Xenopus tropicalis: one gene and its partners. The protein of the gene in region 5 interacts with the protein of the main gene of each other region in a biochemical or structural test. Links are inferred from orthologs where the notes say so. Each region holds a gene or a part of one and is shown on either strand. Other genes may lie near its edges. The genes, in order: dyrk1a, camk2a, lck, mark1, mapt, gsk3a and fyn.

Region 1 (3,500 bases), on a different chromosome or scaffold from region 5:
CTTTAGATTTATAGAGACTTTGTGGAAGGAAATAACAGCATTTAGCAACACAAATTAAACCATACTAAATGAGCGTTAGTAACCTTAAGAATGCACAGTAAGGAGTTTCCTGAGGTGTGGGTGCTACATTTGGGTGCTAGAGAACAAATCCTCATACCCGAGCTAGAAGATGTGCTAGAGGTGGTTCCTGATGACTGGGACTGCTCCATTGCTGGACTCGTTGATACACTGTTACTCGTGTTTGTACCTTCGTCAGCAGTTTTCTTAAAGAAACTATGTTGCAGAGCATAATAGGGTTGGATACGGGTCTTGGCATCATAATCCAACATCCTTAAAATGAGGTCTTTAAACTTCAAGTAGTCCGCTACAGTATGACCTGATTCCCCGCCTCGGCGGCCACCTGGTCCTCCAGTTTCTACTCCAAGTAGGTTGTGAAGTTTTCGGGTTCCCGGTGGTTTGTACTCCTAGAGTAATAACACAGACTCCCGTTAACAACTTGCTGGCACTGGATATACAGGCACAACAGTATTTGTCTATAAACAAAATAAACAAGCAAATAACTATGGGTTGGTTTAAAAATGGTGGTGCAATGTGATAGGGACCTTAGACTGTAAGCTCCTCTGGGGCAGGGACAGATGGGAATGTGATAGGGACCTTAGATTGTAAGCTCCACTGGGGCAGGGACTGATGGGAATGTGATAGGGACCTTAGATTGTAAGCTCCACTGGGGCAGGGACTGATGGGAATGTGATAGGGACCTTAGATTGTAAGCTCCACTGGGGCAGGGACTGATAGGAATGTGATAGGGACCTTAGATTGTAAGCTCCACTGGGGCAGGGACTGATGGGAATGTGATAGGGACCTTAGATTGTAAGCTCCACTGGGGCAGGGACTGATAGGAATGTGATAGGGACCTTAGATTGTAAGCTCACTGGGGCAGGGACTGATGGGAATGTGATAGGGGCCTTAGATTGTAAGCTCACTGGGGCAGGGACTGATGGGAATGTGATAGGGGCCTTAGATTGTAAGCTCACTGGGGCAGGGACTGATGGGAATGTGATAGGGGCCTTAGATTGTAAGCTCACTGGGGCAGGGACTGATGGGAATGTGATAGGAACCTTAGATTGTAAGCTCACTGGGGCAGGGACTGATGGGAATGTGATAGGGACCTTAGCTTGTAAGTTCCACTGGGGCAGGGACTGATGGGAACTGAGTGCTAAGCTGTATACATATAATACAACCCAGTGTATCTAGTGACAGTTTTATACATGTATATTGACTATACAGAAAGAGCAGGGACTGCACTGTATAACCAAATGTGCCTTTTGGGCTTAAACCTCATTAGAAACATGCAAAGCCGTTGATTCCTTTTCCATTCCATAGAATTTAGCAAATTACCTTTTTTCCATCTTTGGTCTTCTTTAAGTTCCAAGTGCCTTCTGGCATCTTCTCAAAGAACTTTCTAGCTTTTGGTGCTTGGTCAAGGATGTGAGCAGGTGGTATTCCTAAAACTTCCACAATTTTACTCATTTGATCAACCTACCAAGCGACAAAAGCAAAGTCAGTCGAGGCAGAACCCACACATGATGAAGTGACCCATTACAATTATGGGGCACCATAAAACAAATATGCCATCATCAAGTTATTTATATTGGGTATCCCATATATGTGACTGTCTGTGGGAAGACCCGAATAGGGCACAGAATTGCAAACTGTGGGGAGGACTAAACTTGGGAGGCAGTAGCCTTATAGGTGGCCATAAAGGCCCAGATTTAGTGGGGACTATTCTAAGCATACTGTAAGCATCTAAACTCATTTGGCTTTTAAAGGAAAACTAAAGCTTAAATAAAGAAGGAAATATTGTACATTATGTTTGGGGGGTTGTGTACCAGCCCCAGGCCCCCACAGCCCTTTAGCAGGGAAGATCTTTGCTCCTTAAGATTGCCCCAGTAGCCCCCCATCTCCTTTTCTGCCGATTCCCTGCCCATACTCTGTGCTGCTGGCACTTACCTGAGCTTAGGGGCCCACTCACTATATACTGTATATATAGAATATAAATGTCACAGTATAACCTGAGCTTAGGGGCCCACTCACTATATACTGTATATATACACTATAAATGTCACAGTATAACCTGAGCTTAGGGGCCCACTCACTATATACTGTATATATAGAATATAAATGTCACAGTATAACCTGAGCTTAGGGGCCCACTCACTATATACTGTATATATACACTATAAATGTCACAGTATAACCTGAGCTTAGGGGCCCACTCACTATATACTGTATATATACAATATAAATGTCACAGTATAACCTGAGCTTAGGGGCCCACTCACTATATACTGTATATATACAATATAAATGTCACAGTATAACCTGAGCTTAGGGACCCACTCACTATATACTGTATATATAGAATATAAATGTCACAGTATAACCTGAGCTTAGGGGCCCACTCACTATATACTGTATATATAGAATATAAATATCACAGTATAACCTGAGCTTAGGGGCCCACTCACTATATACTGTATATACCAAGTATAAATGTCACAATATAAGGCTGATTAGTAATTAATACAGATAATTACTACATGGCAGCTCAGAAACCAGTGCAGCTAGCGTGAGAATGTAATAATCACTGCTGAGCCACTGAGTTTTTCCCCTGCTGGTTGGTACTAAATCAGCCGCTCTAGAGCCAAAATTCGGATTTCCTGAATTGAAATTTCAGCTCTTCTGGTGCAGAGAGTGCTATTGTGCTGTCTGCACTAGCAACGCGGCCCCCTCCAGCGCAAAAAAACTAAATTCAGAGTGGCAAGGTGGGGGGCATTCCCTAGGCCACCTCAGGGAAGTAAGTAATATGTAGCACACCACCTATGGGTGGGCGATATCGGGGGAATTTAGGCTAATTCAATCGTTTGGCCCTGGGGCCAGCTCAATGCCGGACTCTGGGCGCTCCACCCCAACCCTGGATCGTGGGCAAAAGTAAATGGAACGTGACACAGCACACAGGGGTGGGGGGTGCACGCAGTGGGTGGGTATAGGCATGCAGACTTTGCAACTGGGTGAGGGGCCAGTGAGGTGGCAGCCCTTGTCTCAGACACCCCATTCCATAAGTGAGCATGACAGCATAAAAGTGATCTACCAATTTAAATCCATGGCGCATTACAAAAGGAAAATAAAAGTGTTGCTACTGCCTTACCTCATTGGCTCCACTGAAGAGGGGCTCCCCAGTGTGCATTTCTACCAAAATGCAGCCAAGGGACCACATGTCAATTGCAAGGTCATAAGGCATTCCTAGTAAAACCTCAGGAGACCGGTAGAAGCGACTCTGAATATACTGGTATATCTAGGGACAAGAAACAAGGTATAAGCCGATTGGCTTCCGTGGCCTCGGTTTCGTGGGAACAAGAGCCAATCCTTACCCTCTGCCCTAGCTGGCACGAGCTTCCAAAGTCCACAATCTTAATGGCGCTTCGTTTTGGGTTACAAAG
Region 2 (3,500 bases), on a different chromosome or scaffold from region 5:
AACCAACAAGTAAAATGTACAGGATAACCCCTAGCCAAGATTTAGAGAGAATAAATTTGTCAGTATTCAAATATTGCTTTACCCTTAAACTATATGCGTATAACTGCTCCCACATTTATAAAATAGGATTGAGAAACTTGCCTCAGGTGGCAGGTCCCTGCAGGTTACCGGGGGCCAGAATCATCTATGAATATATAATAGCAATTTAACTAAGATCTTTATGGTTCCGCAGCAATGGAATGCAGCACCAGCAACAGAACGTGAGTGACTGGCCAACAGGCTAAAAGTACTGCATGGTCAAAGTGATGACTGGCACCCCTTACAGCTATACACCCGACATATCATTATTACACATTGGCACTGCTTCATTGCAGTCCATGTAACTGAGTTACCTCTGAATACATTGGTACTGCAGGTGACCTAAAATAAAACCTCAATTTTACATACTCTGATTTTAAATTTTCTCTCGTTTTACATTATTATTTGTGGTCCCACCAATATATAATGCATTTTCCTGCTTTAAATTTTTCCTGGATTTTACACCATCTTTTCTGGTCCCCTGGTGGTTCCACTGTAATTTTAAAAAGTCTTGCATCAGCTGCATTGAATAAGAAGTGATCTATACCCTCTAAACCTCATCAACAATTCTTTATGGTCAGCTGCACTGAATTTAATGCATGTGGTCAAGTTATTTAGAACTATAATTGTCTTTAAAAAGAAATAGTAGGTTGGTTGTGAGTTTGCATTCTGATGAATAAAAGAATCTTTTAGACTAACTTAGAAATTGTTTCTGCTTAGGAATGTTAAAAAAAGAATCATTTGTTCAGTAGACATTTTTAACAGGAAGGGTTAAAATCTTTACCACAGGCCCAGAGATCCACAGCCTTTCCATAGGGGTCTTTCCTTAGAACTTCTGGGGAGAGATAGCCGGGCGTTCCTGCAAAGCCTGTGAGAACCAGATACATGTCAGTCTCCAAACCATGATGCTGCCATGACCCCTCGATAGGGTTTTTAGGGCAAAAATTTACAAAATACAAATAACTGATAAAGTACTATTTAATAACAGATATTTGTAGTATTTATTTTATTATCTGTAATGACCCCATCCTATCACCCTTCATTTGAACTTTGCGGGTTTGTACTAGGGATCTCGCAAGAGAACTGAGCATTAAATTGTTCCTTGGTAGTAATAGTCTGGGTGGGCAAGGATATCATTATTATCATCAGCATATATTGACAGCACATTTTGTAGAGCTTTACAATAATATCACAATAAACAGTGGGCCTTACAGAAAATAGCAAAGGTTAGCTCTGTACTTCACTTACCAAACCAAGCCTGTTGTTCGCCTTCCACCTCAATGGCCAGCCCAAAATCTGCCAGTTTGACAGCTGCTCCCTTTAGTTTTGAAGCCAAAAGAAGGTTCTCTGGCTGTGCAAGGGAAAACAAAGGAAAACAATTAAAACAATGTGTAATTTTCTAAAACAGATAAAATAGCAAACTGCAGCAAGAGTTTGTTGCTGTTCTACCAACTTTTTTATATCATGGTGAATGGAGGGAAGAATGGAGAGAATTGGAGAATTCTAGTTACCAACTGCCACCTAGAATAGAGATGTGCATAGGACATAGGTCCAAGGGTCAGGCGGCTTAGAGAACATTTTGAGCTTGGGGTTGTGGTAGGTTATTTTGTTTTCTGAAGGACTGAGGAGGGAATGGGCAAAAAACACAATCTGCTTTCAAGTAGCTTGGCCTGATTATGGCAGGTGCAGCAGTCATCATGATAAAAGATCAATGTAGGTGCACCTTAGTGCTATGGCAGAGGGAAGCCAAGGACAGTCTTGGTATAAAATTGCACTTTGGGTAAAAAAACAGAATGAATTGGTATGTATGGTATTTAAAAAGGAAGACTGTGATGAAAGAACAGAGTGTGTGATGGCTCTTTACTGCAGTTGCACATACACCATGTTGTAGATATTGGTGTAGAAACACCCTGATGAAAGAACCAAGGGAATAATTTTATTACATTATTGCAATATAGTACATGTAGAAACATCATACAACCAGGGAAATGGAATATGCTCTCAGTATGCAGAATGTGTAGGGGAAACATGATGAAAGAAAACTGGAGTATGGGGTGTGTGACCAATGAGGAAAACTGGAAAGACCCAGAGAATGATGCAGGCAAACATGTACACAAGGGTGTCTGTATAGAGGCAACTGCTGGATTCATACTGCCGCTACCCTCACCTTCAGATCTCTGTGCACTACCCCCATCTGGTGACAATGCAAAACTGCTTCTAGAATCTGCTGAATGCAATGGCTGCAAAAAAGAAAGCAAAAACAGGACATTACATTGCTCTCATTACGTTAATAGACTATTTGGCAGTCCCAGAGGTTTCATACTATACTCCGCTAGAGGCTTTGGCCTTGGTTAATTAATAAAAGAAAAATACTGCACATTAATGAACACTAATAGCACATATGGCCATTTGCCCTGACTTTTCTATACTAAACCAGTACCCCCCCCCCCCCCATATATAATAAAAGGCCCAAGTGCTGTCACCCATAGAAACTAATAAGATTTTTTTTTACACATGTAATCAGAAACTTAGAGCCTTTTATTACATTTCCTCGGTGGAGTTACCGATGTCTTACCATATTGGGCAATATTGGAAAATTGGCATATCTGCTCAGTGGTTACCCAGAAACACAGGTTTCATAACCATTGGGATTTACGTTATTTCACATTGTCTACAAAGATAACCAATCCCTGTCATTGTAGTGAATGCTGCCAATCTAGGCCAGGACTGGCAGTCTGGGGATTCTGGCAAATGCCAGAGGGGCTGCTGTTAAGATGCCATAGACAGTTACTATTTATTTGACCAATTGGGTCTATGTGTAATTGAATGCCAGGATCTGTTTCGAATCCCAGTCCAGACCTGTGCCATTTAAAAACAAAAAGTAATCCCCAGGATTGGCTTAGTTACTCTGTAGGTTTAATCATTTCCAGATAAAATGAGAATTGGTCCTGTAATCTGCAGCCTGAGGCATCATTTGTATGCTTGTAACCTGCATAGTGTGCATTTTGCACCCAAAACAGCCTTCTGTCTTGTTAAAGGAAAACTATACCCTCAAACATACCCAGTAGTTCTCTATAAAAATATATTGCATAAAGCAGCTCAAATGTAAAACTCTGCTTCACCTAAATAAACCACGTTTATAAAAATATATTTTTTAGTAGCAAGTTCCTTTGGGTAAGCCAAAATTACCATTTTAAATACTAAAGGCTGGCCCCACGGTGTACACAAATAAACCAAGGGCACACATACTCGTTATGTCACATCAGCCAATTAATAGACTGTCTTTTACTCCCACACTACTTCCTGTTACACCTGCATGATTTCCTGTCAGGTGATCTCCGAGAGAGCCCACAGCCCATCACTAAATGGTGGTTCAAGGGAAAGAATGTAAAAGGGCAATATTTACTGATATATATATATAT
Region 3 (3,300 bases), on a different chromosome or scaffold from region 5:
TAGACAGTGTCAGGAAATTTGCAATTTGTCTTCTTTGTGTGTGTGGGTGTTTCTTTTGTTTAAAATCTGTTTTGATTACTAGGGCCTATCAGGCAATGTTTTCATTGACAGACTGACAAATGAATAGGTGAGTATTTGAATAAAATTATTAAAGAATAACTAAACCCTAAAAGTTGTATTGCTAGAAATGCCATATTTTATACACTGGGCTTATTGAACCAGCCTAAAGGTTCAGCATCTCTATAGTCGTAATGAGCAAGGCCTTCAAGGTTGTTCCAGAGGGTCCCCGTACTGGAATCTGTTAGAAGTGTCAGTGACACTGCACATGCTTAGAAGTATATTTATCATGCTGTGTAAGAAGTGGAGTACAGCATCACCGGTGATGTTGCTCATAGTAGCCAATCAGATGTTTGCTTTGGTTTTCTAACTGTTGAAATCTAATTGCTGATTGGTTGCCCTGGGCAGCATCACTGGTAATGCTTCACTCCACTTTTTACACAGCATGATAAATATACCTCTTCGTGTGCTCTGGGCAGCTGTTGAAAAGCTAAGCTTAGGGATTGTTGCAAATTGACAAGAAGAACATGAGGTTTGTCTGTTATAGCGTGTGATGCTACAGGGCTGATTATAAGTTCTGATGCAGAATAAACTGGTTTCTAGACTGCCATGTTATGTGAATCTGCATCAGTTACTGATCAGCCATGTATTGGGACATTTATATACTATATTTACAGTATGTTGTGAGTCGATCCCTAAGCTCTGTAACTGACCACAGCACAGAGCATGCGCAACGAATCAGCAGAAAATAAGTTGAGAAGCTACATGGGGTATCTATGGAGGAATAGATCTTCTCTGCTAAAGGGCTTTTGTTGCTTTGGGCTGGTACAGAAGCCCAAACATAATGTACAACATTTATAGCCTGTATCTTTAGTTAGGCTTTAATACTCCTTTAATATAGACACCTTCTTATATTAAACTATTCTTGTGAATTGTTGATGGGGATGATATTGTTATTTCAAGTGCTTTTCTATTATCTGAGCAGGTTGTGATATCTTCCCAGTTGTGGGCAGGAATGTATTCATGACCCTGCATGTGATGTAATCATGGGGGTTCTGACAATTATACTCACCTGATGAAGGAGACCTCCAACTAATTGTTGTGCGGTATGAATGGCTGAATATATTTGCCCTAAGCTATTCCTCTAAAAGTCTGGGTCAGTGTCATGTGTGGTAAAGGCCCCAATGTGGTTTGACACTTGATACAAATATCTGAGATATCAATTATTCATACCTAAACTTAAGTGTGCAGTTTTCTGAACATGAAGTGATTCCTAAAATCACCTTCTGTTTTTAGAGGGCACAGTGGGCATAATTTTTCTTTGATCTACAGAAATTATAGCTGTAGGTCCCAAATCCAGAGTTGTACTAAGGTGCCATCTCATCAGACAGTACCAGCTCAGAACTATTTTGGGGGGTCCTTGGTTTCTCCCTACTTAAGGTTAATTTGATGCTGGGTTTTATATGACCCATAAAGCTGGTATCAGTTTGTTTTCTGACATGCTTTATCAGAGCACACTTCTTATGGCTGAGACTGATATGGGCCCTCTGTAGCTGTGAAGAAATCTTCAAGCAAGGATCGTAGAAATTCAAACGTGGGCCTTTCCTCAGGTTCCTCCTTCCAACAACGAAGCATCAGCTCATACAATTCCATAGGACAGTTGTCTGGCTGAGGCATACGATAACCTCGTTCCAGATTTTCTATAACCTCTGGATTAGTCATGCCTGGCACAAGAAAGAACAGTTACTGGGGCATACTGACTAATTACTGACTTAAAAAACAACCTTAAAATTAACTTATAGTATAATGTAGACATTGACATTCTAGGATAATTGCAACTGGTCTTTAGTTTGTATTTATTTATATAGTCTTTCTGTTCTACTTCTTTCCAGTCTAACATTTTAAATGCTCACTGGTCACTAATCCTCTGGGTTGATATTTGATTCTTTGATCATATATTTTTCTCATTCATCAGCTGTTTTTATTTATTTATTATTTATCTGTCACAACTACCTAGTAACTTGGGTAAGTAACCAGATAAGAGTTTCAGTTTTAAACTGGAGATCTGCTAAATAAAATGTTAAATAATACCACTGTCTACATCTTTCAGAATTCTTATAGCATGTATCTTTGCAAAGCAAAGAAGCACTCCAGTGTGTCGGCAATGCGTTTAAATCATTTATTTGCAGAAATGAACAAACCGCACAAGCTTTCGTGGGTGACCCCTTCTTCAGGTGCTTCTTCCCCTTTGCAAAGATACATGGAAAAAAGGCTTGGGAGCGGCTGTGGAAGTTAAGCACCCTTTGAGAACATGTATGTAAGGGGTGTGCTGAAGATTTTTGTTTATGTTGATAGCACCTTATAGCAACCAATGAGTGATTATCTTTTTTGAGTTGCATTGAAGTAGAAATGTGAAAACAAAAATTTGGTTGCCATGGGTTACTACACAGTTACACACATTTGCCCAGTGTGGATAATTGAGCCCCAAGGTGTTTTAATGAGACCTAATAAGCTGTGTATGCATAATTACCTCAATGTGGCACCTACCTTGCCTTTTGACATCATTTGGCAAATAGAGTGACTACCCTTATCAATATTTTATGTTTGCACAAATAATTTGTAATTTTATGGTTCATTCTTTGGTATTGGCCCATGTCTTAGGAGCTGGACATGCCTTTATAGATGTAGGGCTATTATCTATGAAAATATTGCTGTCTGCCGTTATCCGCTCATAGATAGAATAAAAACTCTGGGCACTTACCCTTCCAAAATATATATCTACAAATGTGCTGTGGAAATGTTCTGGTCAAACAGCAAATTAAAATCTCATAAAATTATGAGAATCATAAAAATAATGAGAATTATGAGAGAATAACACAATCTTTGTCTGTAAATTGTATTTTATTTATAGCTACAACAAATCAGGGCTATTTTTGTAGCTTAAAAGGTTACAATATCACAATATATGAAAGAGAAAATTATATTATGCAAAAACTATCCACATTGCTCTTCTACATTCTTACCTTCAGAAAACCTGGCCTACTACTTTACTCACCTGGGTATGGAATTCTTCCATAAGTGACAATTTCAGTTAGCAGTACACCAAATGACCACACATCTGATTTGATGGTGAAAGTGCCATAATTAATGGCTTCAGGAGCTGTCCATTTTATAGGAAATTTGGCTCCTGTGAAGAAACGTTTGGGTATTATGTAACAGTAACTAACTAACATTCTTCAGCAA
Region 4 (4,191 bases), on a different chromosome or scaffold from region 5:
GCTTATCTGCCCCTGTATGTGGATCCCCGATGGGCCTGCCAGACCAATATCTAGCCTAAAATTGACCAGATGTTGATCAGGCAGGTTTGATTTTCCCATTGGATCGGGGGCTGCATCGGCTTAGTGATGCAGTCCTTGCACTGATGGGTCCTATTCCCATCATAGTAATTCGACCATTTGGCCCGGGGGCCAAAGATCAAATTACTCTGATATTGCCCACCTTAGTTGGGCAAATCGGTGGAACGATCCCCTCCTTGGGTGACCTTGCCAAACAAGCCGATCCTATGGTTTAAGGCCACCGTAACCCAAAAATTATCCATGTAATCTGCCCATGACCTCCCAAAGTCAGGAGGGTTATCTTACCTGCAACCCAGGGATGCTTCTGTAATAAGCAAAGGTGAGAGCCAGAAATTCAGTTGTTTAATCAGAGAGCACAATTGCCCTCTCTGGTGCTAGAAACCCCCCCTAGATCCAGCAACGGGGAGGTCTGCATAGGGGATGGGTTGGGAAACACTGTGTCTGATTAGGTAGTAGCAGAAGGTCCAGTGGCAGTGCCAAAGCTAAGGGGTGCCCTAAGCAAGCCCATACCCCCAGTCACCCCACCTCAGTTAGGTATCTGTAGGGTAGTGGGTTAACGAGTGGGAGCAGCGATGTAGTGTGTGGGGCCCCACTGTCTGGAAGTCAAAATAGGCCCTGTCATTCCAAGTACACAGAGGCCCAAACAGCCCAATAGTGACTGTCTATGGCATCTTACAGCAGCCCCTCTGGCATTTGCCTAAACCCACAGATTGACAATCCGGGCCTGGCTGAACTAGGGATAGGCTGTATGTACCTACCCGCAGCCCAGTCTGTTGCACCCTATGCACATAGGCTTTGCAGGCATTTTGTGGGTACCCGACCAGACTTTAAGAGGTATAAAAAATATAATTATTACAGTGATCACAAAGCACTATGTTAATTCTTACCCCCAGAGGCGCCCTTTGACCACCCCCAGGGGCGTAATGGGAGTTGGAGTCCCTTAATAGCTGAGCACAGGGGGCTACACAACAATCTCCCTGTATTAGTGTTGGTGAAATCCTGTTCCCTACAATAAGTACAGGTTGCGGTTGGTCAGTTATTTTCCCTTCAGACCTTGGGAGAAATTATATTACTGTACCTTGCAGCCATAGGCTCTAATGCACCTCTACAACTCCCAGCACCCTTTGATCTCAGCACCCACCCCGCCCTGGGAAGATACACTCAGTAAATTATCTGTCCAAGGACGAGGAATAATGGGAATTAAACGTGTGCTAACTACAACTCCCAGAATCCCCACTCAGCAGCTGTCTCCTCTCCCCCACCCCCCCTGACAATGTGTCAGTTAATCCCACCCATTCCCTGGGATGATCCCAGTGGAAGCGGCAGTCCCCCAGCCGGCCTGAGGGGGGCAGTAGCAGGAGGAAGGGTTCGGGGTTGGCAGAGCCTAAGAGAGAGACCTGCTCCCACCATCCCTCTTCACTGGATTACTGGGACAGCACCTGCGGCTGGGAATGAGCCTAAAGGCGGCCAGGGGGTCCCCAAGCACCCCGCTTTGAGGCGGAGTAGGAAGAAGGATGCTGCTGCCGTCGCTGTGATTTGTCACACTACCATGCAGGCTGAGGGGCGCCCTGTGTGACCATCCCTGTCATTCCCACCATCTCTCTTTCCCACTCGGTTATCGCTATTACTGCACTGAACCCGCGGAGGGGGGAGAGGCCGGAAGGAAAGCCCGGGCAGGAGGGACTCGTCTCTCTCTGTATCTTTGGAGCCGAACAAGATGTCGGCCAGGACGCCACTGCCCACAGTCAACGAGCGGGACACGGAAAATGTGAGTATCCCCCCCCAGGGGGTCACTTGGTACAGCCTTGCAGATATTTAGGGGCCGGGCGGGCCAGAACATTGTATGGGGGAAGGGGGGGGGTCACTTTGCACAGTCCTAAAAATCCAAAGGGGTCAGGCGGGCTAGACCACTGCGAGTGGACGGGGGGGATATCCGCTTCCCCTTAAAACATGTACAGGCCACTTGGTACAGCCCTGCAGATCCATAGGCACTGGGGGAAACGCACTGAGTGGGAACCCTCGCCTCCCCGGAACGCAGCGCTGTAAGGGGGGGGGGGGGGCTGGGCTGTAAACCCCCTCTGTCTATTCTCCTTGTATTGCTGTGGGGCCGCCAGGGCTGCTGGGAAATGTAGTCACAGAAATTGCTTTGAAGAGATGCTGTTAGGGTAGGGCATTTGCCAGAGCCCTTAGCTGTGCCCTTTGGGAGGGATGCCGGGGGCCTACCCTTGTGATTGCTGGAGAGCTACAGGTTGTGGATCTCTATTGTACAGTGAGCTGCCCAATGTGGATATCATAGAGACTCCAGGGTTAGTGAGCCTGTATGTACAGCAAGGGCCACATTATGCCCAGTTGGGGTATATAGCTACTGTTGGTGCCAGTGTGTCTGCTTATTTATGGCACCTTGTAACCTATTTAATTGTGCCTTACACACACTGTATCTTGCCCTGCTGTTATATCTTGTGTGCCAGGGTATAGGGGATATGGGTGCCCCCCCTCATGTCCAAACCTGCGGACCCCATTGTTGGAAGGTTTTGCTGTCACTGCTGATGGCTGTATAATGTAGCTGCATGGCTGCGCGGAAACCAGCACAGTCGGATGCAAGAAATTGAGCAAAACGTCATGCAGCTTTGTATTAAAGGCAGAAGGTGGCAGCAAGCTGGCCCTGATGGTGTGGCCCAAACTGTCGGAGAGGCTGTGCCACTGGTGTAGGAAGCCAGAGTGCGGCCGAATATTTGGGGTGGTTTTACGACTAGGGACCATGGTCTGTATGAACTAGTCCTTAAATACCCAGTACTCTGTCACAGGGACAGAAATGGCTACCAATGTCTATTGCCAACCTGCCAGCCAGAACTGAAATTCTATTCATATCATTTCTCCTATAAGAAACAGCATAGTTGCCCCCTAGAATGCTGGGGCTTCTGGGAGTTGTAGTGCAACAAGCGGGTGCAGTATTTCCTGGTAAATCACAGAGAGGACTTGTGGGAATGCCGGAATGCCAGAGCTAATTACATCCTGAGGGATAAGGACAAAAGCCCTGTTTGTTTTTCCTTATTCCCCTGCAGAGGTGGCACACTGGGCTGACTCACATACAAACACTGGCACGGGCATCACTGGGAACTGCTGCTGATCCAACCGTTACATTTAGCTCTGCCCGTGTATTCCATATAATGCAACATCCCCACGTCCTCGGCTGCAAATGTTCAGCGCCCTGCGTTTATCCTTTCCGAGGCCGCAGCTGCTTTGTGCCTGACATTAAAGGGTAAATCAACAGATACCTTGCCAGCCTAAGCTGGGGAGGAAAAAAAAAGTCCATATTCTCCACTGTATGTCCTGTTATTGTGGGCTCACCTTGCCAGTTCCAGGATTGTCACCGTGTCACGTTTGGCAGAGGAAGGAAATACTTACGCACCGTTTGCCAGAGGTTCTCTAATCTGGTCTCGCAGGAATGCGATTGAGCCTTAATTAAACTCTTCCTACCCACACTTGTTTTTTTTTAATTAACCCATTTAATGCGCTGGAAAGAGGATGATGACGAGCTGTGCAAGGTGGAGGAATGTTGCCATTTAAATGCTCGGTGCCCCAAACCCCGTATCTATTTTACTACCTACCTTTATGGGGTTTTGGTTCAGAATACGGGAAGTCATCGGTTTGCTTCAGGGCATAATCATATCTAACCGGATCCCCTTTAGCTGCCATTGGATTTAGGATAAAATAACCTGTTGAATTTATTAAAGGGGCTTTGGGGTGCTGTTGGATTTACTCCGGTCATTGGATTTGGACACTGGTAGATAATCAAAATTGCAGCCATGGAGCACTTGTGCCTGTGGGGTTTGCTGTGCTTGGCACCTTGCTGTTGGTAATAGGGGTGCATGGGACATTTTGACTGCTGGGTGGAAATTAGCAGCTTTCATCCATTTATCAATGGTTCCCATGTAGGAAACGCGTTCGATTTTATTTAGTTATCCTATAAGGGTGAGTAGGTGGTGTAATATTGCACCCACATCAATAAAGAACCTGCGCCATAGGCTGTTCCTTTAGCTGGGTGTTAAATCTGACCCAAGGCAGGGTAAGTACAAGGATCTGCCTTCTCCTAATGGTTCTCCCTAGCTTGCC
Region 5 (3,500 bases):
AACATGATCTATGTCCCTGTCCTATTTAGCAGGAACCATTACTATGTTTGCCTTTCCTGGATTGTTTGCTACTCCAGCAGAACTGGAAAGACAGGGCAATAAACTCTGGCAGTTTACCTGAGGGTATTTAGAACTCTGTCTATAGTTCTGTCTATTAACAAAGGGTGCAGTAATGGGTAATAAGGTAAGGATAATTGCACACCTCAGACATCTGGATCTGTACTAACAGGTGTATCCTCCAGACCTACTATAAGAAGACACCTTCTGGGAAACCTGCATTGTTGTGTCATATCAATTATAGTGTATTTGTGTCTCTGAGTGTCTGTACTTGTACAAAGACTAAGCCTAATGAACCTGCTTTTTGCCATATTATCACCTTGCAACATCACGAGGATTGGAGAAGATATAGTAGGAAAGAGTTTTCATGGCTTACATAGTTCTAACTAGCACCTGCATTACCTGCGGCACGGTCCTGTTGACTGGGGGTATGCCCAACGCCAGCTTCCTCTGCTGTAGGACAGACATATAAAGGGACATTTATATGTGCGCATTATGTTTTCATCTGTGCTGTAAATACAATGGCAACTAACGGTTGCCATGTTTATTGTGCACCACAGGGATCACCTGACAGAAGTTGGGAATGATGGGTGTTACAACAACAGCTACAACTTCTGTAAAGTGATTCCTTTGGCATGCAATAAGGGCAACAGGTGGCGGTTTTTAGACTTGGTTGTACAATAAACAGTAAAAGTGGGTGTAGAACAGGCATCTCACCTATTTCCATATGCCCATAGTCCCCAGTGACATACTTCAGTCTCCATCCAGAAACTTAAAGCATGACAGTTATCCAGACTGTTTCTCAAGGAACCTACAATCCATTTGGGATCTGAAATACGTGGGAATCTATTCTGCACTTTTCTGCCAAAAATTTACTTTTTAAAAACAATTGCTGTTTGATAAACTGGGAGCACTTCTACTAATTGCAGAGTATCCACCCACTATTAAATCCAGACTCTGTGAGCTCTATCAATGGCTGACATTGAAACACTTGCTGTGCCAAAATGAATGCCAATTTCTATTGCCACCTGGTGAGTGGTGTTATGTGCAATGACCCAACAAAGTTGTCTAGTGGGTGAGTTTTATCATGAATAGTGACCATTAGAGACTGTAATTGGGGAAGAATGATACATATGCTTTTATTAGTATCAAATCAATCCATTTGTTGATAATAATATAGAATAAAAAGTATTGGTAACTTATTAATTGTTCATAATAATTCTTATAATACATTGATTATCACTGGTTGATTACTATTCTATATTAATAAGAATGCACATCATTTTTGGATCGCCTGTATACTGCTCAAGCCATGATTTGCATTTTCAAATTTGAGAAAAAAAAATTAGAAAAATAAGTTGTTCAGAGCTTTAAAGTAAAATTACTTTAAGGGTTCAGGTTCAGTTCGGCTGAACATTTAGACTGTTATAAGATAGCTGACCGACATGTTTAAAAACCTGACAAAGAAGTATGGACAGTAAGGAAAAAGCGTATACTATACATACTATAGCGCTCATCACTAACTGGCCTTTCCCACAAGCAGTATCCCATTGGCAGCCTAGCTTTATACTTTAGCTTAGAAAAGCCCAGATAATACAGATACTGGTTGTTTGAGGCTGTTGCTTTCTATCTTTAATGCAAGTACTATATTAAGTCCCCTTATTAAATGCACAAGTTGCTATGATCTTTAACACTGTCCAACCTGACTCTGTAACGTTGCAGCTTGTACTCTTGTAGTTCTGCTGCGTACAATCAAATCTCCTTAAGAACCTCTATGTTCATGTTGCTTTAGAAACCCTTATATCTACATATCTACTCCCATAGCAATATACATTCATAATTCGAAACACATATGTTGATCTGATCATGTTTTACAGAGGCTCAAAGAAGAAAGAAACATTGGGGCCAAAATGTGAGGCAGCTCAGTGACTCTAACTGCTAACCTCCTTAATTTCTTGCAATTTCTTGCCCTAGGCTCCCAGGTACGCTCTGCATGAGTTCAGGTTTGGCACATCTTTGAAATCTTTAAAAAAGTTAGAATCACTGGGGGATGCCTTAAAAAGTGTAGGTTTCTTCAGGAAATGTATCACTTTTTGCAGGATTCAGATGAAGTTCAGCCCAGCCCAAATCCAAATTCATGTGACTTTAAAGCTCTGGACAGCTGAAAGAGAAGTTTCTTCTCCCATGATGCATTTTTATGGGATTTTTCTCAAATCTGAATATATATATATTTGATTCAGTCAAAGCTTTTGTAGTGTATTTGATATTCAGCCAATTTTAAAATTTAAAAATATGAAAGTCCAGCTTTGTTGCCTTACCAGTTGTTCCCTCAGGGATCCCTGCATGGCCCTGGCTTCTCACTGCTTCCCCATTCGCTAGATCCTCTTGCACCGAGGCCGCATCTAAGAGAGGGTAATAAAGGAGACCACTTATAAATGATTTGTGCTAAAACAGACTCTCTTGTTCTCTCTCTCTCTCAACACAGAAACATGGGGTTCTAGAACAATATCACACATACAAGGTGACTTGCCATGGACTTGGTATGTGCAACTACTCACTAACAATATTTATCCATTTGCTGAATTTTAGCCATTTAGTGAAGTGTTATACCCACATTTCTTGTTATTTGCTGTAAGTCTTACCTTATATACCTTACCATATCTAAAAACCAATATAACCACAATTTCATTTTACAGAAGTTGTTGCCAGAGCCTTTCTTTACCTTATGGAGCAGAAGCTTGAGGGCTATAATAGGGGAGAGGTTTCTGCTTATACTTACCAACACACAATTTATTAAAACATTAATATAAAGCTTTTCCCAACATTCTGGGTTTAAGCTCCCCTTTGTAGGCACCCCTCAGCTTATATGAAGGTTAGAGACACACACTATATTGAAACCACATAGTAGACATATCATATAAAAATTAAGAAAATACCAGTGAATTATACTCCTCTAAGTATAGAAGGATTGTGCTTAAAAAGTTGTGTTTATGACTGAGAAATTCCACCAAAACCCCACTAGTCCCACCCATCTGTTCCACTTCCTGCTGGCTGAATTGTCTAGATGTGTAGGGGAGCCGGCGTCCCTCAGTACCCTGCACTGTAGCATAGGAACCAATCAGTAGCTAGGCTGACCTGATAGGGAAATGAAGCCTGTCTTTGCTTGTGTGACTGCAGGGCTGTGATTGGCTATCCCCCTCCCGCTGTGCTTTTGGCAGGGACTGTTAGGACACGCCCACTCTACATTTGAAACAGGGACAGACAGGATAGGATCTATAGGGAGCTCCAATAAAGGGGCCATTATTACAGATCGGATTCATTTTTAGCCCAAAGTGAAACCAGCACCATATATTATTCATAATTACCTGCAAATTAATGTTGTTAATCTCTGCACCCTATACTAGTACATTATGGGCAAAAAAACATTGGTTTTTGTGCCTGGT
Region 6 (3,500 bases), on a different chromosome or scaffold from region 5:
AATTATAAACTGCAATTACAAAGAGAACCCCTAGTTCTATTAGGGAGGGCACATGTAGTAATTTAGACCTGTGGTCAGCTACATATAGGCCAAGTAGAAAAATGGGTTGTGCACAGGGCTATAGTTAAATTGTCAATATTACTAAAACCACTTAAAATATATTATAGCTTTAAATAGCAAATGACAATATTAGATAGCTCACCAATATTTGCAGTGTAGTCTGTGGCTCCAAAAATGAGCTCTGGGGCTCTGTAATACCTCGAACATATATAGGACACATTTGGCTCCCCACGAACAAGCTGCTTTGCACTGAAAGTGAGAAAGAATGGTTTATATCCAAACGTACAGCAGCAGGCTTAGATATACAGAAGGGCAAGAGAAAAAAACAAAACACAAAAACGCATGGCACTCACCTGCCAAAGTCACAAAGCTTAAGTACAGCAGTGTCTGGATCTACCAGCAAGTTCTGTGGTTTAATGTCTCTGTGACAGACACCCTGAGAATGGATATAAGCCAAGCTGCGGAACAGCTGATACATGTATACCTAAATGGTAAGTGGAAAGAAGCTCATCAGCAGGCATAAAAATGGCATTTACTTATTTACAGAAACACTGGCATGGGAAACCCAGCTTGCTTTACTTATTTCTTGCTCCCACGTTTACTTCTGATTCAGTAGCAAAGAAGAGGCTCTAGGGCAACTTATTCTACATAGCCCAGCATTCCCAGATAGCATTTTTCTAGTGGAGGATCTTTATTGGTTTTCTCACCTTCACATAAATGGACGGTAATGAGGTTTTGGCTTTTGCAAAGTGACGAGCTACACGATAGACAGTCTCCGGGACAAAATCCAGGACCAGGTTTAGGTAAACCTCGTCTTTCTAAATAAAAGGATGAAGCTCACAGTTACAAAGAGTCAAAGTTTAAACAGAATCTAGTGTACGGTTAAAGAACCCAAAAGAAACAATGCCCATCAGTGTACAGTTGTGCTGATTTGATCTGTTGTTCTATAACAGAGGAGCATTTAATCAAGCACAAATAAAGATTTATTCTTATGTTTAAAGAAGTAATGGTTTTCCTTCTGTTATCTGTGACTTGGAAAGCCACAAATCCATTAGCTACCTACATTGGCAGAAAGAAGGGGTTAACTAAAGGGTTATGTCCAAGTACATGAACAGAATCAGCTGTACAGACTGTCTGCAGGGAATACAAGAAAAGTCAGACCTTCTCCCCACTGGAGTAGAAGAAATATCTCAGGCGCACAATGTTACAGTGATCCAGCCTGCGCATGATCTGCAGCTCCCGGTTCTGTAGGAAGAAAGGGACATTTTAATTGGAGGACATGACTTACAGAGGATAAGCAATTCAACCTAGCCCCTATTAAACAGGAACAATTGCACTGGCCTTGTGCTGAATAGATATTCAGACAGTGAGCAAAAATAGGGTTATTTTATAAAAAAAAAAAAAAAACTTAACCTTGAAAAGGATTTATCCAACAGATACTGCTATTGTCTGTATTCTATCCAGGCATTGTTGGAAGAAAGAAAGTCTCACTCCCCCGTTTAGAGTGTGTATTTTTAGAGTGTTTATTACATGTGGTACCCAAATAGTTTCATATACAGGCAGGCAGACAAAAGTTTCCAAAGAAAAATGCTTAACCCTGCAAGTGCCAGTACTAATCCCTTTCTCGCTCTCCCTGATCCAAGCTTTTGTGCATTTACAGATTAAGTCAGTCATTCTGCTGAAGGCAGCCAGCAATGAGTTGGAGCTTACCGATACTGCCGTACTTACCATGGAGGCACCCATATATAATAAACATGCATGAAGTCAAAACAGACACTTCACTACTAAGGCTAATGGCGCACATGGCCGTGCCTTCGTTTTCTACGCAAATGGAGAAAAGCCAAAGTGCTCCATTCTACTCAGATGCATGGATCAGATTCTGTTTTTTTTTGCCAATGGAATCGCATTGGATTTTCTTAATCTGCGAGCCTAATACACTTTTTAATTACACATTATACCTAAATAACACACAATGAGCATGTTTATTTTCAGGCACAGTGACTTAAGCCCTGTATTCTATTCGCCATAATGGCTCAGCACATATCCTCCACTTGTTTCATGTCCCTGCCTGTTAAATGGCTGCCCAGGCCTTGAGCAATTTTAACTTTTCCCTACAGACAACTAAGCCCCGTAATTGCCAAGTCTGTAACTAAGAGGAAAGTTAACATTTAACTAGACTATGTAGTCACTTATTTGACTCAGCTCATTTCTCATGACTTGCACAAGAGCAGGCCAGCCTGATAACCCCCAGAAGCTGAACAGCCCCAGGCCACAATCCTCTATGTACACCTTATATTTGTTTCATGGAAACATCAAGTGAGATGTATAATTCTCTCCTTGTTATAATGCTTTGAGTTTTAATTTTGCATGAATTTATTTAATAGAGTGATTTTACCTTTTCCTAAATGGTTCTTGATTTTAAAAACAAATATACATTTACAATTAAAAAAAAAATGGCTTATTGGGGTTGGCTTACTCTTTGGAACCGTTATTGGACATAGAGAACAAACTTATGTTTGGCACTTTAAATGTATGGTTTTGTACTGCTGTTTAGTGTCAGTGCACTCAAGGGGTACCGAGATATCAAAAGCACTAAATGCTGAAAACTGCTGCACAAACAGTGGGAAAAACTGAATATGGTTATCAGACTGGCTTATGTAATGACTTACCACATTTATCGGATTACACCAGCACTCTCCATACTGGTAAAAATAAGATGGGTTCCTAGCCAGAATGGACTAAATGACAAAGAAAGGAAGCAAATGTCTCCTCACGTGCCCTAGAGCAGGGATTCTCAACCTTTTTTACCCGTCAGCCACATTCAAATATAAAGAGAGTTGGGGGCTGTGATTGGCTATTTGGTAGCCCCTCTTTGGACTGGCAGCCTACAGGAGACTCTGTTTGGCATTACACCTAGTTTGTATACAACCAAAACTTGCCTCCAAGTCAGGATTTCAAAAATAAGCACCTGCTTTGAGGCCACTGGGAGCAACAGCCATGGGGTTGGTGAGCAACATGTTGCTTGTGAGCCACTGGATGGGGATTCCTGCCCTAGGGCTTTGGGACACAAAGTGATTGAGCATCTGGTTACTGGTACAGAGTATGTACCCATGTATGAGCTGCTATAAGCTTCTGGCCCCTTTAACAAGGCCTCTTTCTAACAATGTGCCTAGGCCCTCATTATGATCTGATCATTGGCCCAAGGGCCTAGGTGGAAAAAGATGAGAGCAATGCAATATGAACCTTATTTCAGGTTTTCAAAATATCACTACAAGCTAACATGTCATTCTCACACAGTAACCAAATTTTCCATCTTCTTACCTTGAACCTCTTATCCTGTAGAACTTTCTTGATAGCCACCATTTCTCCACAGCCCACCAGCCGAGCCTGGTATACCACCCCGAAGGAGCCATTACCAATGACTTTGATGTCTGTATAAG
Region 7 (3,500 bases), on a different chromosome or scaffold from region 5:
ATAGAATATGTCGACTGTATGAAATATGATGAGATTTTAAACAGCTGGAATGTTTATGTTTTTGCAGCTGTTATATTTTTGCCACTATGTCTTTTTTTCCCTCCTTCTCAGCTTTACCCCCCTATGCTGCTGCCTTCCTCACCCAGCGTTAATGTTCTTCCCTGCTCTTCAGGAAATTCATTGCACTGTGGAATGCATGGCCATCTTGGGTTTTTTCACAAGTGTTTAAGCCAGGCAGAGAGAGAAAGCCAAGCAGCGTGGGAGCACAAGAAAAGAAGAAAACTTTGCTATTGGTATTCTGCTTGAGCAAGTGCATGTAATGCTTGCACTGTATCTACTGATCTTGCTGGCGTGTGTGGAGTGCTCATTGGTCATTTCTACACAGTGATTAAACTGGAACAGATGGGGTTAATATGCTCATTATCCATTTCTGGGATATGTTTTGGTGAAATAGGTATAGTTTTTAAAGTTGTGGCCACAAAGTAGGCATGGTCAATTTTTTTGCTATTCAACAAGATCTTTGCCCAGAGCCTTAAAGGAACAGTAACACCAAAAAATGAAAGTGTATAAAAGTAATTACAATATTATGTACTGTTGCCCTGCATTGCTACAACTGGTGTGTTTGCCTCAGAAAGACTACTATAGTTTATATAAGTAAGCTGCTGTGTAGCCATGGGGGCAGCCATTCAAAGGAGAAAAGGCACAGGTTACTTAGCAGATAACAGATAAACCCCCATTATATGGGGCTTATCTACTAGTTATCTGCTATGTAACCTGTGCCTTTTCTCCTTTTTTCCAGCTTGAATGGCTGCCCCCATGGCTACACAGCAGCTTACTTATATATACTATAGTAGTCTTTCTGAGGCAAACACACCAGCTGTAGCAATGCAGGGCAACAGTACATAATATTGTAATTACTTTTATACACTTTCATTTTTTGGTGTTACTGTTCCTTTAAAGGAGAAGAAAAGGTAATAACTAAGTAAGCTTTATCAGAATGGTCTATGTAAATAGCACTTAATGCACTGAGTTGTCTATCAAAAGAAATACACGATTTCTTGTCTACTTTTTTCTGTGCCAGAGTCTGCACAGCTCTCTCCTCTCTCCCATAAGAATGCTAACAACCCCCCCCCCCCGCCCTTAGGAATGTGGATCTGAGCCAATCAGCAGGAAGCTTCCTCATAGTCTTACAAACTACGCATGTACAGAGGTCATGGTCTTGGTGCAGGAGCGTGGCAATATGGGAATTTTTTTACAAAGCTCAGGGTTCTTTTTTCCTATGAGGCTGAATAGGCAAAATATGGGGAGACTTAAGGGCACTATTGAGAGAACTGAAAGTATGCCTGCAGCTTGAAATTAACACTTTATTAGCCTTTCCTTCTCCTTTAAACAGCCCCGATTCAGAAACCAAACAGCAATGGTGCAGGCAGGAACCAAAATGTGGACTGCAGGAATGGTGCTTGGTTTGGACTGTAGGTCTGATGTACAGTATAGAAATGACCTTACTAGTTATGACAAGCCTTATCTTTGAGTTCCTCCATAATAGGAGGATGTAATGTATTATAGAAAGCTACAACAGCTTCCCACTACATTCAAAAAACATGGAAGTGTTATTTGTGTGTTTTTAAAGGAAGCCAATTAAGCTTGGGCAATGTCTTGCATCTTGCAGATTGACAATTTTACAAGAGACAGCTACCTGACAATTGTTTACACAAGCACTGGGGGGGGGGGATGATTATATGCCAACGACTAAGCTACTGGCAGCACCAAAGTGCCTGAAATCACTCTATGTACGATTGCTTTTATATGTAATACATATTGATAATGAATCTACATACTGCTTTCCAAGTTCCTGTTACCATTCTTTAAAAGCACATCATCATGGCTTTCATACCTTGCCTTGCAGTGTACTCATTGTCTTCAATCAATCTAGCAAGGCCAAAATCAGCAATTTTGCAAATAAGGCCATTTCCAACCAAAATATTTGCAGATCTCAAATCTCTGTGTATATAATTCATTCTCTCAATATAAGCCATGCCAGCAGCAACCTGTCAGTAAAAATAGAAAACATTAGTAAATAAATTTGCAACAGTAAGTAAAAAAAGGCAATAATAAAAATAAATTCAATAATATGGAGTTGATTAATGAAGCTTAGACTGCAGTTTGAGTAATGATGACCTTAATTAATAATGAAACTTTACTGTACCTGGGCAGCCATGTCTACTAAATTTGGCAACTTCAAGGCTCTTCCTTCTCCATCCTTTAGGAAATCTAGTAAACTACCTGCATTAGAACAATATTCAAATTAACCAACTTTATTACTTTTTTAAATTAGAAATTCCAGATGTATTAATAGGATATATAAGAATATCCCTAACAACAGCTGAATTTGTCTTTGGGGAGCCCCAAGGCTTGTGTATATATCTATATATGTATATATATCAGTAAATATTGCCCTTTTACATGCTTTCCCTTGATCCACCATTTAGTGATGGGCTGTGTGCTCCCTCAGAGATCACATGACCGGAAATAATGCAGCTCTCACTGTAACAGGAGGAAGTGTGGAGGCAAAAGGCAGAACTCTGTCCATTAATTGGCTGATGGGGCCTAGCATGTAAGTGTGCCTTGGCTTGTTTGTGTGCACTGTGAATCCTATGATCCCAGGAGGCGGCCCTTCATTCTTAAAATGGCAATTTTCTATTTAGGATAACCCAACAGCACATACTACTAAAAAAGTATATATATTTTTATTTATTTTTTAAAACTTTATTTTTAATTTTTGTTTTACAACAAGGTAGGTTACATATAAAACATGTGGGGGGAAGATAGAAAGAGTAAAGTTGGGGTCGCATAGGGGGTTGGGGGGAGGGAAGGGGGGTTAAAAAGTATATTTTTATGAAAATGTTTATTTAGATGAAGCAGGGTTTTATATATGATCTTTTTAAGAAGTATATTTTTATACAGATCTACATTGTTTTGGGGTATAGTTTTCCTTTAAGGTATAATATTGTCAAGCAAAAATCTCATCCTTTAGTGCAGATAGGCAGCTGATATCTGCTGCATCCTGTTCAGGTATGAAGTGACACTACCCATACTACTCTTCCGCACCAAATGCTCAGGTAAAGAACCCTTTACCGTACGTGCCTGAGGTGTCTGCTGTAGGAGCAGGGCTCACTTGGCATGCAGAAGAAAAATACATCACTGTGGGTCTTACTCCTAAACGCTTATTATATAGTTCCATCCATTACATGAACCAGAATGTGTCTTGTAAATACTAGCAGAAGAGAGCCTATTCCAACAGCAGCAACCAGAAAATATACACTTCTGTAATGCAGTGTAATGGCTATTTACACTAAAGGAAGGCCATGCACAGTGAAGACTTCTGCTAGTCAAGCACTTCCAGATATTGCAAGGCATGCATCTGCACTTGTAGATGATATGCATCTTCCCCGTCACAAAGAGAGCAATGAAACCCACATTAATACCCCTATGCATGTCAG

Evidence for each region.
Region 1: of the proteins of mapt (region 5) and dyrk1a, one has a biochemical effect on the other in vitro, tested with the Homo sapiens proteins (2 studies listed by BioGRID). The link is inferred for Xenopus tropicalis from reciprocal best matches to the Homo sapiens genes MAPT and DYRK1A.
Region 2: of the proteins of mapt (region 5) and camk2a, one has a biochemical effect on the other in vitro, tested with the Homo sapiens proteins (2 studies listed by BioGRID). The link is inferred for Xenopus tropicalis from reciprocal best matches to the Homo sapiens genes MAPT and CAMK2A.
Region 3: the proteins of mapt (region 5) and lck form a complex in vitro, tested with the Homo sapiens proteins (2 studies listed by BioGRID, with this or other methods). The link is inferred for Xenopus tropicalis from reciprocal best matches to the Homo sapiens genes MAPT and LCK.
Region 4: of the proteins of mapt (region 5) and mark1, one has a biochemical effect on the other in vitro, tested with the Homo sapiens proteins (4 studies listed by BioGRID). The link is inferred for Xenopus tropicalis from reciprocal best matches to the Homo sapiens genes MAPT and MARK1.
Region 6: of the proteins of mapt (region 5) and gsk3a, one has a biochemical effect on the other in vitro, tested with the Homo sapiens proteins (4 studies listed by BioGRID and IntAct). The link is inferred for Xenopus tropicalis from reciprocal best matches to the Homo sapiens genes MAPT and GSK3A.
Region 7: of the proteins of mapt (region 5) and fyn, one has a biochemical effect on the other in vitro, tested with the Homo sapiens proteins (10 studies listed by BioGRID and IntAct, with this or other methods). The link is inferred for Xenopus tropicalis from reciprocal best matches to the Homo sapiens genes MAPT and FYN.

The regions. Positions count from the first base shown.
Region 1 is NC_030678.2:12,501,150-12,504,649, forward strand, and holds part of dyrk1a (dual specificity tyrosine-phosphorylation-regulated kinase 1A), read right to left. Parts: coding exon 3,432-3,500; intron 3,356-3,431; coding exon 3,209-3,355; intron 1,540-3,208; coding exon 1,399-1,539; intron 465-1,398; coding exon 158-464; intron 1-157. UniProt on the Homo sapiens protein: Dual-specificity kinase which possesses both serine/threonine and tyrosine kinase activities. Exhibits a substrate preference for proline at position P+1 and arginine at position P-3.
Region 2 is NC_030679.2:21,001,538-21,005,037, reverse strand, and holds part of camk2a (calcium/calmodulin-dependent protein kinase type II subunit alpha), read right to left. Parts: intron 2,319-3,500; coding exon 2,246-2,318; intron 1,430-2,245; coding exon 1,327-1,429; intron 947-1,326; coding exon 863-946; intron 31-862; coding exon 1-30. UniProt on the Homo sapiens protein: Calcium/calmodulin-dependent protein kinase that functions autonomously after Ca(2+)/calmodulin-binding and autophosphorylation, and is involved in various processes, such as synaptic plasticity, neurotransmitter release and long-term potentiation.
Region 3 is NC_030678.2:86,451,373-86,454,672, forward strand, and holds the end of lck (tyrosine-protein kinase Lck), read right to left. Parts: intron 3,245-3,300; coding exon 3,113-3,244; intron 1,782-3,112; coding exon 1,579-1,781; 3' UTR 501-1,578; downstream 1-500. UniProt on the Homo sapiens protein: Non-receptor tyrosine-protein kinase that plays an essential role in the selection and maturation of developing T-cells in the thymus and in the function of mature T-cells. Plays a key role in T-cell antigen receptor (TCR)-linked signal transduction pathways.
Region 4 is NC_030681.2:10,521,341-10,525,531, reverse strand, and holds the start of mark1 (serine/threonine-protein kinase MARK1), read left to right. Parts: upstream 1-1,391; 5' UTR 1,392-1,795; coding exon 1,796-1,846; intron 1,847-3,426; exon of another isoform or gene 3,427-3,505; intron 3,506-4,191. UniProt on the Homo sapiens protein: Serine/threonine-protein kinase. Involved in cell polarity and microtubule dynamics regulation. Phosphorylates DCX, MAP2 and MAP4. Phosphorylates the microtubule-associated protein MAPT/TAU.
Region 5 is NC_030686.2:17,244,518-17,248,017, reverse strand, and holds part of mapt (microtubule-associated protein tau), read right to left. Parts: intron 2,460-3,500; coding exon 2,376-2,459; intron 511-2,375; coding exon 460-510; intron 1-459. UniProt on the Homo sapiens protein: Promotes microtubule assembly and stability, and might be involved in the establishment and maintenance of neuronal polarity.
Region 6 is NC_030683.2:107,331,719-107,335,218, forward strand, and holds part of gsk3a (glycogen synthase kinase-3 alpha), read right to left. Parts: coding exon 3,382-3,500; intron 1,306-3,381; coding exon 1,222-1,305; intron 879-1,221; coding exon 768-878; intron 545-767; coding exon 414-544; intron 310-413; coding exon 203-309; intron 1-202. UniProt on the Homo sapiens protein: Constitutively active protein kinase that acts as a negative regulator in the hormonal control of glucose homeostasis, Wnt signaling and regulation of transcription factors and microtubules, by phosphorylating and inactivating glycogen synthase (GYS1 or GYS2), CTNNB1/beta-catenin, APC and AXIN1.
Region 7 is NC_030681.2:76,827,943-76,831,442, reverse strand, and holds part of fyn (tyrosine-protein kinase Fyn), read right to left. Parts: intron 2,284-3,500; coding exon 2,207-2,283; intron 2,049-2,206; coding exon 1,895-2,048; intron 1-1,894. UniProt on the Homo sapiens protein: Non-receptor tyrosine-protein kinase that plays a role in many biological processes including regulation of cell growth and survival, cell adhesion, integrin-mediated signaling, cytoskeletal remodeling, cell motility, immune response and axon guidance.